Linked DNA regions of Neurospora crassa OR74A. The protein of the gene in region 1 binds, or shares a complex with, the protein of each later gene. Links are inferred from orthologs where the notes say so. Each region holds a gene or a part of one and is shown on either strand. Other genes may lie near its edges.

Region 1 (7,845 bases):
GAAGCGAGGCCCTCGAAGGGGTGCGAGGTTTTGCACTTGCGACAGCGGAGGGAGAGGCGCGCACAGGACTGGAAGCGTAGGGAGTCGGGGATTTGGGACTCGAGAGGGTGGATTTCGAGGTCTTGTGGGCCTGAGGAGTTGTTGTTGGTGTTGGAAGAGTAGCGGCGGACGTCGAGACCGAGGTTTTCTGCGAGTTGGGAGGTCGACGTGCCGACAATGTTGGCGCAGAGACGCTCGACTGGAGGGAATATTTGCTTGCCGATGTACCATTCTACGTCCGGAGACAGGCCAGATTCGGCCTTGAGCACGTCTTGAGGGGTGTAGGCACGCTTGGCGACGGCTTCTGAGGTGGTCTTGCTGTCGCCTGTGATGATGTACGAGATGACGTCGCCCTTACGGATGGTCTTGCCCTTGGCCAACTCGCGAAGGGCGACTTGGACCTGCGGCATCGAGTCGGCATTGGGATAATCCTTGGGCGCCTTACCAAGCTGAGTCGAGATGATGTACTTTTGCACAGGGACGGCACCCTCGCGCATCTTGGCAGATATGTCACGAAGGTACTCGTGGATGCGTTGGACAGACACCTCAGTATCGTCTCCCGAGAGGATCTCGGTGAGGATACGGTTGGAGATCTCCTTGGATAGCCCGCAGTATTCACGACGCTTCATATCGAGACCTTTGACCTCCATTTTCTCAACCCACTTGCCGTTGACCTCGACCATGTTGATGGCAGCATACTTCTTCTTGGCTTGGAGGAGGATGCGCCGGAAGACGTTGTCGATATCAATCTCAAGGAGGCGGTACCGCTCGTTGACGGCCTTCTTGAACTCGTGGCCGACACGCAGGGCTTCAGCAACGTTGTCCTTGTTCGCGTTGATCATGACGGAATCCGTGTCACCGTAGATGACCTGGAGCGAGTTGCTCTCCGCCAATTCTTTGGTGCTCCGCAGAATCTCACGACCCTTATAGGTGGTGAGCACGGCAAGAGGACGGGCGTAGAAGCGCGACTTGGTATAACCAAGACAGCCGTACATGGAGTTGGCAGTCAACTTCAAGGCGAGCTGCTTGATATCCCAGGTGGCGAGCTCTTCAGGTGTGGCATTCTTGTCTTTCATCAGAGACTTGACCTGCCTACGTCGGCTAACGAGTGTGGCAATCAGCTTGGGAAGAATGCCCTGCGCCTGCTCCTTGGGAACCTCGGGAACAGCATCATCGTCCTCGGACTACTTTGCATTAGCTTGTGACGTCAACGGAGGAAGGACCCTGACTTACCAGTGATGTTCGATCAACTGTGGTAAAGCAAATGTTGTACTCTTGGATGATGGAAGGGTAAAGGGAGTTGAAGTCCATGACGAGAACGAACTTGTCATAAAGACCCTTTTCTGGCTCGAAAACCAAACCACCCTTGTATTTGTCCTTCTTCTTTCCTCCTTCTCCGCCTTCCTCTTCTGCGTTTTCCTCCTCGATGCGTTGCCGACCCTTGAAGGTCTGCTTGTCCGGGACGACATATTTGTTGCGGTGGAATTCGTGAAGCAAAATGTACTCGTTCCGCTCAGCACGCGTACCGGTAAGTGTTCTTGCCCACGAGTTACCAGCCAGGTTGGTGAGAACCTTGGTAAGAGGAAGAATTTGAGTCCTGAGTGCAAGAGCCGCGATGAAGTAAGTGTCAGTCTCGGCGTGGGAGATGTAGTCCATCAAACCATGTTTGTCAGCGTTAGCCCACGTCTTCAGGGCGACTTCGTTGTCGATATCCCTCCTACGACTTTCGCCTCCCAGATACAGACTGCACATCTCGGTCAAGGACCAGGTCTGGCACTTGGTCATTACTGATTTACCGGCATCGTTAGCAAGATCGCATAGCAGACGGCCAGACATTATCTGACGTTCGGCAAATACATTGCCACCCATCTTAACAATGGACGAGGGCCACTGAGAGCGCCTGAGTCTGCCCAAACGAGACCATTGATGTGTCTTTTTCTCGTGCAGCCGGTTCAGCAAGATGCTGTAGTCAACACCTTCTAGCTGGTGGCCAAGGATAACGTCTGGATCGACAACATCGATCTGTGCGAGCAAGAAATTCAAGATCTCGTGTTCCTGCTTGAAGAGCTTGAGCACACCTCTGTTTCTTTCCTTGGCAAGCGTCTCGAAGCCGATAGGAAATGCGCTACCGTAAGGTCTAACAGCGGTGAAACTACGAGAAGCAAGCTTGTCTGGGGGAGTGGTGTCACTGAGCGACACATCAAGGTAGACTCTCCCGCTAACCGCGAGAATCTCCTGCTTATTATCCTTAGGGTTGAACGCTGTGCGCATAGCCAGGCTTAACAACGTCAAAGGAGGAGGCTCAATACTCTCGGCGTTATCCGGGACCGACACCATGTTGGGATGTTCTACCAGGACCTCCAGCTTGCAGTGCGAAGCATTCCTCAAGGAAGTGAAGTCTGCATCCTCGATCTTGAGCCAGCAGGGGCCCATGATGTTCTTCCAGAGCACAAACTGCTCGAACAGAGCGGTATTGGTACCAAAGACGTGGGAGAAGGTTTCGCCTTTGTGGGTGGGTTCCATCGCAGGCTTGGTATATGGGTAGAGGAGCTTCAAATACTGGCTCTCCTTGGGAACGTCGGGAAGCTCGAATGCGTACTTGCGGGTGCAAGCCTTGATCTTGTGCATGCCGACATTCATCTTGGTCATGATTTCATCAACCTCGTTGTAGACGTCCATCATTTCCACCTCTTCTGTTGTTTCCTCGCCACCTCGCACACGGTACTTGCGCGGCAGGAAGAAAAGCTTCCGGAGAATGTTGTCAACCTTGACAAAGCAGCTGACGTAGGTTTTGGTCTTTTTGTTTAGGACCTTGCCAAACAAGCACAAACTGCCGTTGACCTCTGTGTAGTCTGTCCAGAACATGTTCAAGCTGCCGTCTTCTTCGATAGCGTCCTTGTAGTCAATCTTGCCAACGCTCCTGCCCTCGCTTTGTGACATGGATACGACATTGAGCTTCTGATTGATCTCGTTCCAGGAAGCAGCGTCGACCTCTGGCGCTGGTGCCCTTGCGGGTGACGAACTGGCCGGGACGGGCTCTGTCTTGAGAATCTTTTTGATTTGACGGGATGCTGATATGTTGACGCTGGCGGCTGTTACCGCTCCAGTATGGGCAACCTCCATCATGTCCTCATCTTCGTCCTCATCATCCTCATTCTTTTTGGGTTCCGGCCTGCCAAACGTCCTCCGTGTTGCTACTTTGGCGGCCGGTGAGGAGGGCATGATGGCGTCGCTCATAAGATAATCGGAGACTGGTGCAGGTTCGTCGTCCATAGCAGGCAGGTAGTCGTCGTCTGGTAGAAGGTCGTCGTCTCCTGCTGGGGATGATGCCCGATCATCGACTGTCTTGGCTCTCTTTGCCATGGGTGGCCGAGGTTCCCGTACCGGGGAGAGCACCCGGACCTTTCTCCTCTCGACTGATCGATCTCGCTTCTTGGATACTCGTGTGACCGGGACGGGGATTTGTGCGGTGACCTGGTCGATGAGGTCGTCCAAGAACTTTTCATCTTCTTCTGTTTTGATGACCTTTTGTTTTGGTGGGGCTTTGACGGCGCCTTTCGTGAAGTATTCGGTGATGTCTCTGTCGTTGGCATCTCGTTTCGCATCTTCATGTTCCTTTTGTTTCTTGGCTAAGAGGGAGGAGAACGAAGGTCAGTACCAGAACCAGAGTGCTTTATAAGTTGCTCCCATCGTCGGGTTTCAGCGTCTCGATCTGCTCACACTTGCGCGGCTTGCTGCCGGGTAGGCCTAATTCCTCCTCGCTGTCGCTGTGGTACTGGGGGAGACGGTCCCATTCTTCGCGGCCGTCGTCGGCATAACCCTCGCCATTGTCGTCAACCACGAAATCGTCCTCGTTCAAGCGGTCTCTGACGATTTTCTTGTACTGGTTCTCGTCGACTTCTTCGTAGAGCTCGTCGATCTCGCCGACGTCGTAGGTCTTCTTCTTGCCGGACTGGCGCAGTTCGCGCAGCTCAGCGTACTTGTCTCGCTTGGCTACTCGTCTGGACATTTTGACAGGCCGTTGTGATGTTGCCTTTAGGATTGGAGATTGGATGGTGACGAGACAACAGAGGAGCACCAGGCCAACACTCTGGAGAGAATGTCGACGGGGCCACCGTGATGTGGTAGTGTTGGTGACAAGAGTCGTAAGAGAAATATAGTGGGATTACAGGGTTCAATTGGTCCCCTCCAGTAACAAAAAGAAAGTCGCGTTTAGTTTCGTTACTCGTCGCGTACTTTACTGTAAACTGTAAGCGCGAACCCTTGTCCCCGTCACGGTCGTGTTTAAGAGGTGGGGCAGTTCTGCTGCTTTGGCCTAAGCGGATACCTAAGGAAAGCAACGTAGTGGCCCACGTACATAGTGTACGTACCTTTCAGCAACGGGGCCCCTGTCAGTGTACCTGATGCCGACCCCCGACCCACCGCGTCTCCACAAGTGCAAAAGGCCGCGGCAGGCATTTTTGTAGATCAGTCTCCAAAATTTCGGAATGTCATCCTAACTTTTGGCCATCATTCACGGTCTCCATCTCAGCATCATCCTCCGTCCAGAGTCCAGGGCAGTTGTGCGCCCGCCGCAGCAAAATACCAAATATCGATTTCTTCCCGGGCCATAGCTTTGATACCACATCGCCCAATTCTCAAAGTTGTCTAGAACAACAGGAAATCGTCACAGGAAACTCGACGATCCAGATACCCCACCAACCGACCATTAGCAACACAGGTACCTCGGCCCGTACCTCGCAGAAGAAAAAGATTCAAAACAATCAAGGGCAAACTCGGTTGTCCGCAAACCATGTTTGTGTGCCGGGCTTGTCTGCGGAAAGGCCTGGCTCCTGGAGCTTTGGCTAGGATAAATGCGCCTGCAGTTGGATCTCGTCTGGCCCTTCCAAGGTTAGGCGCACTTACACCAAGCCAGTCCACGACCACCATACGATCCTACCACTTGCCCGCCCTCAAGCCAAAGACTGCCGCCGATCCCTCCGTTACCCTCGATCTCGAAGCGCCGGAAGGGGAAGAAGATGGAGACGGGTCGGAAGGGAAGAGGAAGAAGAGGGACCTGAGCGACGAGCAGCGGAAGAAGCTGGAGCGCAGTGCGGCTTTACAACTAAAGCACTTCAAGGATCCCTTCCACATCGAGAAGCAGGTCAAGTTGACCCTTGACAAAGGAAAATATGAAGAGGCCCTTGTTCTCACCCGCAAGGCCAGCAAGAACGCAAAGGTCCAAGTCTCGTGGAACCATCTGATCGACTACCACATGAAGAACAAGCGTCTGTCTGCCGCCATCAAGATCTACAACGAGATGAAGAAGCGCGCCCAGGTTCCAGATGCCAGGACTTACACCATCATCTTCCGAGGCTGCGCCATGAGCGAGCACCCCAAGCAGGCAGTTGCAGAAGCCGTCAAGATCTACCACAGCTTGCTCAGGAATGAGCGCGTGAAGCCAACCACAATTCATCTTAACGCTGTCCTCGAGACATGTGCCCGCGCCGGCGATTTGGACAGCATGTTCACGACAGTACAAACAGCCAACGAAAGCACGCGCAAGCCCGACAACCTGACCTATACAATCATCTTCAATGCCCTTCGGGCCCAATTCAACCCACGACTGCCACTCGATCGGGATCCCATGCAGCGCGACCAAGAAGATATCAACCGGGAGAAACAAGAGGCCATCAACAGGGGCTTGCAAATATGGGAGGATGTACAGCGTCAATGGAAGAAGGCCAACCTCATGATCGACGAGGAATTGGTTTGTTCCTTTGGAAGGCTCCTGACTTTGGGTACCAAGGAAGACAACGAAAGAGTTTTTGAGCTTCTGTCCTCATCCATGCAGCTCCCGCGATTCCATGCTGGCGAGAAGGCAGCTGCCCAAGTGACCGCTAAGGCCGTAGACATAACCACCACGCCAGTGGTCTCATCTGAAGCAGCCTCTCCAGAAGCCACCGCCTCAGAAGCACCAGAAACGACACCAACGAAAACCACCACATCTGGTTCAACCACACCCACCGTCCAGCCTATCGAAACCAAGCCCAAGTTCGATAAGAAACCCAAATCCGTCACCCACAGTCCCAGCCTCTACGCCAAACCAGGCAACAACACCCTCTCCCTGATCCTCTCCGTCCTCTCCAACACGCGCCGCACCTCGCTCGCCCAAAAGTACTGGGACCTGCTCACCTCCACACCCTACTCCATCAAGCCAGACAAGGACAACTACTTCCGCTACTTGCGCGTCCTCCAAATCGGTCGTGGCTCCGCCGCCACCGCGGCAGTCCTCCAGTCCATGCCTGCCGAGTTCATCACGCCCATGATCCTCAAGACGGCCTTCACGACCTGCATCCGCGACGAACTAAACCCGCACGCCTTTTCTCCGCACGCCTGCACCATTTTCGACGTGATGACCAAGAAGACCCGCTACCCGGACGCCATCGCCATGCGCCTGTTTTTGCAATCCGCCCAAGGAAATTTCCGCCACATCAAGAAGATGGCCGAGACCGACCCCCTGGGGTCCCGCCAGGCAATGGGCAAGCAAATCATACTCGCCCTCGACAAGATGTGGCAGCCGTATCGGATCATGGTCAACCAATACTCGTACCCGATTGGCAGTCGTGTGCAGGCGCAGAGCCCGGAAGACGCGTGGAAGGCTGTGCGGGCGCACATGTCCGAGTGCGTGGTCACCGCTCGCCGGATGATCAGTGCCATGGACAAGGTCATGTTGAATAGCATGTGTGCCGATGACGAAATCCTCAAAGTGCTGAAGCGACGGAGGGTGATTTTGCAGAACATGGTGGAGCGGTATGTGGCCAAGGACGGGGACATGATGGGTAGGTGGAGAGAGAAGATGGTGGAGCGGTATGGGGAGGCGGGCCTGAAGAAGCGAGAAGCGGAGAAGAAGGGGGCTAGTAATGCCGGGGAAGAATATGAGTTTGGCCAGCCGAAGCCTAACGAGTTTGAGAGGAATCTTAACAAGAAGAAGGAGGAGGCGGTTGCTGCGAATGAGAAGAGGAAGGCGGAGCAGGCACAACGGCCCAAAGAGGCAGAAGAGGAGAACGAAGAGGATGAGGAAGAGGAAGAGTGGGAAGATATTACGGAAAGTCGTTATCCCAGAGACAAGACGAGGAGTTTGAGGAACGAGTTGCGGAGGGACGAGAAGAGCAGTTCCAAGTACGGGTACCAGCAAACGAGTAATAACAGCTCGTCATGGTCGAGAGAGAGTCAAGGAGGGAAATGGGATAGGGACAGCCAGCAGGATCGGTGGGGCAGCAGCGGGAGGAAACCCAGCTGGTGATGAATGGTGGATAGGTTCTTGTTAGATAAGGCTGTAAGTTAGTTTGGTTCCGGATGATTGCCCGGCAGATGATCATTTACTGTATATATAAATACACTTTTTTTGATACCTCAATTGGTCTTGTTGGACATATGTGTGTCTCTATGGTTGAATACAGTATGTTCTTCATATTCTCCCCCTTTTCCCTTTTTCTCGTGGGAGTATCTGTCTGAGCTCCATGGGACCAATGGTAAATAACTATACTACAAGAGAAAACCTCGCCGGCGAAAACACACTGAACCGCACAAAGGTAAGTAGGATAACAACATCAACAGTTGGTGCTTGAGAGTTCTATAATAATGCAGGCAGGATGCCTACCCCTGAACTCGCTCCCTTGGAGATTCCTTTTCGAACAAATGCATGAAGCACATATCAGCATCATCAAGAGAAGATACCCTTCGTGCAGCATATCATACTATCGTTACTTCTTTCTATAAATCCTGCTCTGCTGCCATCTGCCTGCTCCCTGACTTTCTTCACTC
Region 2 (7,742 bases), on another chromosome or scaffold:
TGATCTGATCTGATGGGTTCAATCTATCTACGTCCGCACTGACCATTCATCACCTTATCGCAGAGTCAACAAACTTCCCCTTTCGTTCAGGAGCTGAACATCGAAGGCCATGAGCGCAGACAGAACTTTATGAACCTTTTTCACATGTTCTCTTACTTTGTTCCCAAACATTCATTCCTCTTCGACGCCCCTTCGACGCACTTTGGTGGGCTAGAATTGGGATTCGCCATCGGAGATCCGAACGCGCACAGGACCCTGCTGAGCCTGTAAGACTTGGCCGCCAATCACGTTCCTCGGTTCCCTCTGTAAGCGCCCTCGTCCCGCGCTTGCACTTATTGCTCCATGGCCCCATGAAGACAAGACGGCGCTCTTCCCTTCCTGTCATCTTCAAGGCCCATTGATTGGGCACTTCATCTTCTCCATACACCCTGAAGCTTGAATTAGAAAGCAGCCCGCACCACAGCCGCTATGGCGGACGCGCAACGAGAGGCCATCTGGGGCACTGTTCAGTCAGTCCCCTGCTACACTAGGGTAGAGCTGCTCAGGTACCAGTGGCACCCTTCAATACAAATGAGTCTGGACGCCGACTTGACGTCCGCGCCAGATGCTCTTTTCTCCGATCCCTTAACTTTTTCTCCCCCGTTTTCTGACTGTGAATCTGTTTGAACCTCTCTTCTTTTGAACCGGCTTCTCACCATAGCTATCTCCATTCTCTGCTGGTGGTCTCACAAACTCGGGCAACACAAGTGATCTGCAGTCAGCTTCTTTTATAAGTGCGGGGAATCCCTCGAGTTTACTCCAAAAGTTCCCATCGAGACTTGGCGAGGTTCATCAAGACAAGGACCATTCCTTTAACAAGCTCAAAACTATCTGGGAAAGGATTCCTGTGTTCGAGAAAAACAAACAATCAATATGTCTTACTATCCTCGTGAGTATAATACGCTCTTCAGTTTGTTATTGTTATATGATAAAGCTAACAAGTATGTCAGCACCTCCTGGAGCATCCGGTGCTGCAGGTATGTTCCAATGTTGAAAAGCGGATGGAACAGTTGATACTGACGAGGACAACAGCCCCTGCTCAACACAGCTACCCACCTCCTCCCATGTCTGCTCCTCCAACCCAGACAAAGTTCTCTTACCCATCTCCTCCGACCACCCAGCAGCAAGGAAGGCATTATCCTCCTCCTCCTCAGTCCGCCGGCTCGTCTGCCACGCCGCCGCCCAAGTCATCCACTCCTTCGTACCCCTTTCCTCCTCAGCAGCAGCAGCAGCAGCAGCAACAGTATCAACAACCACCACAACAACAATTCTCCCCACCACCGGCCCAGCAATTTTCCCCACCACCGACTCAACAACACCAGCAATATGCGCCACCACCAGCCCAGCAGCAAGTGCAGCAACCGCAGCCTCAATACGCGGCTCCCCCAGCCCAGCAGCAACATGCTCCAACCGCCCTCCCTCTGCACATGAGGACCGATTCCAGCGCGTCCCGAACTTCTGCCCACACCCCTCCTCCTCAGCAACAGTTTGCCGCTCCTCCGCCGTATGCTCAAGGCGAGCAGCAGCCCCAGCAGCAGCAGCAGCCAGCACCCACACAACCGGTTGGTCTGGGGTTGAGCACTTCGGCAGCGGCTGCCATTACTGGTGCACCCGCCGCCGGACAGTTTTCCGGTGTAGGTGCGGTGTCGGATGACGTGGGAACGTTCAATGGTGGCAGTTACCGTATCAGCCATCGGGATTGCAATACTATTTTGACTGTGCAGTTGGCGATCGGTTGCCCGTTGGATGCTAAGCCGGGTATGCTTTCTCTCTTGAAATTCACTCCATAGGTGTATCCAAACGAGTGTGTACTTGGCTAACAGTCTCTATCTTATTCTCGCACAGGATCAATGATCGCCATGTCCCCCTCCATGTCCCTCAAGGGAGCCTACAAGTTTGGCTTGAAGAAACTTGTTGCCGGCGGCGAGATGGGCAGCTCGACTTACACCGGTCCGGGTGAGTTGCTTTTGGCCCCTGCCATGCTCGGCGATATCACGAGTCTCCGCCTGGATGGCTCCCAGACCTGGTCTGTCAGCCACGATGGATACCTTGCTTCGACGCAGAACGTCACCAAGGACTATAAGCGCCAGGGACTGGGAAAGGCCATGTTCTCTGGTGAGGGATTGTGGGTGTACAAGATTAGTGGCACGGGGCTGTTGTGGCTGACGAGTTTTGGTGCCATTGTTCGGAAAGATGTGAGTTATCAGTTGTCTGAAGTCCGAGTGGAAGGGTGCGGGTTGCTAACAGAGGAGACAGCTGGCGGACGGCGAGAAGTACATTGTTGACAACGGCCACTTGGTCGCATGGAATACCAAGTACGTTCTGGAACGTGTTGCTTCCGGCGGCTTACTATCGGGCTTCGCTTCTGGCGAAGGACTGGTGTGCAAATTCACTGGCCCTGGAACAATATTCATCCAGACAAGGAATGCGGTTTGTCAAACCCCACACCAGCTTGATACGTTTGGACATGACATAAACTAACTTTTATAAAGACTGCCTTTAGTGCGTTTATGACCGGTCAAACAGCAAAGGCCTAGAGCTGGATTAGGATGTAGGAGTCGTACGGGAGAGTGATACCTGTGGCGGTCGCATTTGAGGCTGTGAACCTCGCATCACTTGATGTCCTTTCATTCTGTTTATTTTGAGTTTGTTAGCGATGTCATGTCGGCTTTGAGATGTGTTCGGGAATAGTTAAAATGTCAGTATCAGTGAACCATGAGCCTCTTGTCCTGTCCTTAGACTAGAAGCTTGACAGCTTCGTTTCCGCTTGGCAACCTATCGATCCGCCATGAATGAGGTTTGGGAAACAGGCGACATAGGCCTGGCTCTCCAAACAATGATACGAGAAGATCCCACCGGGAAAAGACAGACTGAGAAACTTTGAACAGTGGAAAGAAAGTCCAAGTTTGCGAGTAAAAGGGTCTTCGGTGACCGGCTGGCTTTCTAGGGTTAGGGTCAAAGCAGCATCGCGCCCAACTTCACGGACAAAATTACGCCTGTGATTGGCCAGCTTTTTAATTGATTTTGTAAGAGCTGCGCGTCAAGGTAACTTTAGACGCGTCTCCCAGACCAACATCATCCCCAGTCCACGGCTTCCAACCGACAACCTCCCACGTCAGAAAGCCAGGAGGACAGTCCTACCAAGTCTCCATCATGCTACGATCAAACGTCAGTCGCATCGACCCCAAAAGGCGAAACGTCCTCGACCACCGCAAGAAACAATTCGCAGAAGCCGCCTACAAGGACACCGATTATCCCCATCGGCTCAACTTCTACTCGACCCCTCCAACAGCCGACATCACCATTGAGCAGTTTGAACAATGGGCCATCGACAGGTTACGAAGTATGTATCATACCACGCTCATATCTCAGTGATCTACAATACTGGGCGTGCCTCTAAACGCTAATCAACCTCTTTCTTATCATAATCCAGTCCTCGCCGAACTCGAAGCATGCTCCTTCCGTAACAAAACCCCCGCCGAGACGGCCTCGCACATGAAACCTTTACTCGACAAGTACCTCCCGCTCGACACCAACAGCTCCTCCTCCTCCCAGCTCTTCGCCCAGCGGCAAAAAGACCACTACAGCCACTTCATCCTTCGTCTCGCTTTTGCGTCCACGGAGGACCTCCGACGCCGCTTCACCCGCGTCGAAACCATGTTATTTCGCATGCGCCTGAACGCCGACGACGGTCGCGAGCGCGCGGCTTTTATAAACTCGCTTAATCTCGACTGGGAGACTGTTTCGGACGAAGAGAAGCGCGAACTAGCTGCCGAGTTGGCAGCGACTGCCTCCTTCGGCGGCTACAAAAAGGGACAACAGCAGCAGCAGCAATACGAAGAAGACCAACAAACATGGTGCAAAGTCTCGTGGCTGCGCGTCCCCGAGCTGGTCGAACAGCGGCGCGTCTTTCTCCGACAAGGCTACGCCTACGTTCCCGCGCGCGAACAGCAAGCGATGGTCGTTTCGGAATTCTCGTCCCGGCTGGAACGACAGCTCGAGTTAACCGCCCGGGCCCTTCCCCGACTAGACGAAGACGACCGCTTGACGCCCATCCTGGCACACTTGTCCAAGAACTTTATCACGCCCGACGCTTCGTACGTAGGTACTTCATCCGCCATCTCCTCGGCGGATATCTCAGCCAGAAACATCGACACGCTGGTGAACAACCACCATTTCCCCGCTTGCATGTCCCATTTGCATCGCACCCTGCGGCGGGACGCGCACTTGAAGCACTACGGTCGTCTCCAGTACACCCTCTTTCTGAAGGGCATCGGCCTCAACCTCGAAGAATGCTTGCTATTTTGGCGACAGAGTTTCAACAAAATCACCGACGACACGTTCAACAAGGAGTACCGGTACAACGTGCGACACACGTACGGCGACGTGGGCGGCGACAGCAATCGGCGCGGCGGCGGTTACTCGCCATATTCGTGCCAAAAGATTCTCACAGAACATCCTCCCGGACCGGGCGAGGCGCACGGGTGTCCGTACAGACACTTTAACATGGAGAATCTGCAGACGCTGTTGCAGCAGGGGATGGGGGTGACGGATCGCGGGGTGTTGAATGGGGTCAAGGAGGATAAGGAGAAGCAAAAGTTTCATATGGCTTGCAATCGGTATGTTTCTCCCCGCCGCCTTGCTGCTGCTACTCTCTTGACGCTGCTGGACTTGAGCAGTGAATTAACGCTGATGTGGGATACAACCCAGGGTATTCGAACATCTTCACAAGGAAGAACTCAAAAAGGCCAAGGATGAGGGTATCATGACTGCGGCGCAGCTTGAGACTATTGTCCACCCCAACGAGTACTTCAAGCGGAGTTACTTGCTGAAGAATATGGGCAAGATGCAAGGGGATGTCAAGATGGAGGGTTGAAGATACCATGCATGGTTGATGCGGACGAGCTTGAAAAGAGGTTCGATGTGGAAATATGGATGGGCATGGGATGTGGGACCCGGGTTTCTTTCTGTTGTAGTATTTTCTGGCGTTCAGGCGACATAGCGACGACATGACACTCGTACAAGTTCACCCACACACACATGTATGGGATATGATTTGATGAACATCATTAACTTGATCATATTCAACATGTAGATTTATGGTTCTGACATGCTATCCCATACCACGAGTACAGCAGACACCAAAAGAACTAGGCAACACATCACAGGTAATCAAAAGGTGAACAGAAAGTGGTGAGAAATGGGTATCAATTGTTTATTCTTTCTACTGCGGCAATGGCTTCCTGAAGCGACCTTGCAACCAGCAGCGGTACATCTTCAGCTTCTTTGCCCGGTTGACGAGCAATCTACGATCGACACCAAGGTCCTCAATCACGAAGCGGATGTCAGGCTCAGAAGCGTCCTCGACCTCACTGTCCTTGGTAAACAGCTTGCCCGACCAAATATCGGCCAGCTCGTCTTTCTCAAAGAAGTAGACGCGAGTGCCATCACCACGAATGTAGAAGTTCTCGTCCAGATAACGACCCTTCTTGAAGCGGACCTGAGCCAAGTCTCCTCTTCCATAGTCACGGAAGCACACTTCACCGCCGGGCTTGAGCACACGGTAGACATTCTCGACGGCCTTCTTCCACTGCAACGGGGACAATGCAGAGAAGATAAACACCATGAGGGCGACGTCCACCGAGTTCTCATCAAGGTGAGGGGGCAGCTCGTCGCCGGCCACGTCCCACACATCGGCCTGCATCTGGTCCGTGTTGTAGGCCTCGTGCGAGCGCATGACCTCGACGGCCTTCTTGGAGAAATCACAGGCGTGGATCTTCAGTTCGGGGTTCTTGTTCTTGGACAGGATGGGGAAGGCCGTGTTGCCCGCGCCAGCTCCTATTTCGAGGAGGGTGCAGGGGCCGTATCCCTCAGAGGTGACCTTGTCCAAGATAGGGAACTCCTGCTGAAGCCACTTGCGATCCTTGAAAAAGTTGGCGGTGTTATTCTTGTAGAACTGGTTCCACCACTTTGCAGGGTCCGAGTTGAACCGGTCTGTTGCAGGCAAGTTGAGTTAGCAGACTGCTCCAAGGTCTGGATGTGGTAGCAACTTGGTGTTTGTTTGAAACAGAACCCAATGGTAAAGGGCAAAATCAGATGGGAGCGAAAGACTATAAAATACGTAGTTGTCTTCATGAATAATTCAGATGAACTATGCTTATGATTGTAAATCATCACGGAAGCCCAAGAGAGAGGTGCAATGGGTATGAACCCCTCTCTTAGCGTGAACCATTGGGGAGAGCGAGGTGTGAAAGATGGACGAGTGGCTACTTACGCTTATCAAAGTCCGAGACGGGCGCATTGCGCTGCATCTCGTACTGCTGTTCAGCATACTCCTTGTATGCGTCATCAGTCTCGACATGATCCCACGCGTTGAACTCAAAGACGTCATCCTGCTCCTGCAGATAGCGAGATCCGAACTGAAACGGGTCGCTGCGCTTTTGGTTGAACTGGGGATCGTGGGACCGGTGGGGAGGCTGCTGTTCCTCCTGCTGCTGCTCAGGCTGCTGTTTCTCCTCGGCTATTTCGAGCTTGGAGATCTGGGCAGCGAGCTGCTGCTCGGGCTGTTGTTGTTGTTGTTGTTCATCGACGACAACCTGTGCCTCGGTAGAGGCGACAGGAGCGACGACGCCATTCGATGCCATGGCGAAGGACAATGTTGGAGGATCCTGGTTAGTGCACTGGTAAAAAGATGCAGCTAACAATCACCACTGGTCATTGAATGGCACTGGCTTTGTTGAAAGGTTGACGCAGCATATCGTGCTGGTTCTTGAACCGCGGAGGGAACGAAGAATGAAGAGACGGAGAGGAGAGGAGGGGGAAAAGATTTGCAAATTCCGAAACGAGGAAAAGTACAAAAAATGGTCCAGAGCCTGTGGAGCCAATTGGGCTGTGGAGGGGGCCCACCCAACTTTGCACTCAGTGGGCACAAGCTCCGACTGTCTTATCCTTATCTACCCCTAACCCTGGTTGTCCATTGAGGTTGTCGCATCAAGGAGCTGTCCCTCACTCGCCCCCGAATTCGAATCTGGAGATAACTCGCAGACAAATACTTGAAAATCGATAGAATCAAGATCTTGATGCTGGAATACGACCAAATGTGTGAAGTAGATATGATTCAGCGTTCTTCCCCCAGCCGAACCGTTCGACCTTCGAGTCCCGCAGCAGCTGCCGTACCTTCCCTACGGCTCCTTCATCCGATCTCAACCTCAACGCTAATGACCATATTAGGGACCCGGTTGGTCCCTAATTTCAACAACAACCGCTTGGTCAGATGGCACAACGGTCTACCGTTTGAGTTCTCAAAACTCAAAAACCTATTGCCTGTCCGGATCGGGAACGGTGTGCTAAGATACGGAAAGGGGTCTTCACATCTAGTAGCCGGTCTACCTATATGGTATCTGGGAACGCTCCAGTCGACAGATGAAATCAAACGGTTCACCGATGCTCTGACCGGGCGGTTGTTGTTTTTTGCTCCTCTCCTCTCCTCTCTTGCTTGCTTGGAGAGAGGTGGTGCGTTCGAGCCAGTCGTCGATAATCTTTTTTTGGCTTCTTAAATTTCATTTGAAGACTACCGAACACATTCTAGTCGAGTATTTGTCGACACTAAGCAGTCTCCTTGCCCTTTCCCGCACGCTCCTCCCTCTTCTTCTCGATCCTCTCAAGCTCCATATCGATCCTCTTGAAGCTCCAGCTCTTCCAGA

The links. Proteins that work in one complex are often made in the same cells at the same time.
Region 2: the proteins of NCU07870 (region 1) and NCU04646 are in contact, whole or in part, in a cryo-EM structure (PDB 8FOD), measured with the Saccharomyces cerevisiae proteins. The link is inferred for Neurospora crassa OR74A from reciprocal best matches to the Saccharomyces cerevisiae genes POL1 and PRI2. Residues at the interface, in NP_014297.3 of Saccharomyces cerevisiae: Glu852, Lys853, Gly854, Leu855, His856, Lys857, Asn858, Asp891, Leu893, Lys964, Met968, Asn972, Arg975, Met979, Gln983, Glu986, Ser987, Asn989, Leu991, Asp1003, Pro1099, Glu1100, Leu1103, Gln1104, Tyr1107, Glu1111, Glu1227, Glu1275, Lys1365, Asp1382; in NP_012879.1 of Saccharomyces cerevisiae: Thr71, Leu72, Glu73, Arg140, Ser141, Lys142, Glu143, Ile272, Tyr275, Gln276, Arg280, Asp285, Arg286, His349, Arg351, Tyr352, Tyr353, Arg355, Glu389, Lys390, Lys393, Glu394, Tyr395, Arg409, Lys413, Ser422, Pro424, Arg425, Pro426, Gly427.

What each region holds. Positions count from the first base shown.
Region 1 is NC_026503.1:1,180,999-1,188,843, forward strand, and holds the start of NCU07870 (DNA polymerase alpha catalytic subunit), read right to left. Parts: upstream 4,224-7,845; 5' UTR 4,049-4,223; coding exon 3,760-4,048; intron 3,669-3,759; coding exon 1,273-3,668; intron 1,224-1,272; coding exon 1-1,223. Other genes in the region: NCU07871 (hypothetical protein), read left to right, coding at 4,832-7,324. UniProt on the Saccharomyces cerevisiae protein: Catalytic component of DNA polymerase alpha, which in complex with DNA primase (DNA polymerase alpha:primase) constitutes a replicative polymerase. POL1 has a role in promoting telomere replication during interaction with CDC13.
Region 2 is NC_026505.1:1,345,562-1,353,303, reverse strand, and holds NCU04646 (DNA primase large subunit), read left to right. Parts: upstream 1-3,102; 5' UTR 3,103-3,192; coding exon 3,193-3,382; intron 3,383-3,472; coding exon 3,473-4,658; intron 4,659-4,749; coding exon 4,750-4,915; 3' UTR 4,916-5,141; downstream 5,142-7,742. Other genes in the region: NCU04645 (DUF124 domain-containing protein), read left to right, coding at 913-928, 990-1,016, 1,072-1,797, 1,885-2,234, 2,296-2,469, 2,532-2,576; NCU04647 (actin binding protein), read right to left, coding at 5,264-6,033, 6,314-6,683; NCU04648 (glutamine-dependent NAD(+) synthetase, variant), read right to left, coding at 7,645-7,742. UniProt on the Saccharomyces cerevisiae protein: DNA primase is the polymerase that synthesizes small RNA primers for the Okazaki fragments made during discontinuous DNA replication. In a complex with DNA polymerase alpha (DNA polymerase alpha:primase) constitutes a replicative polymerase.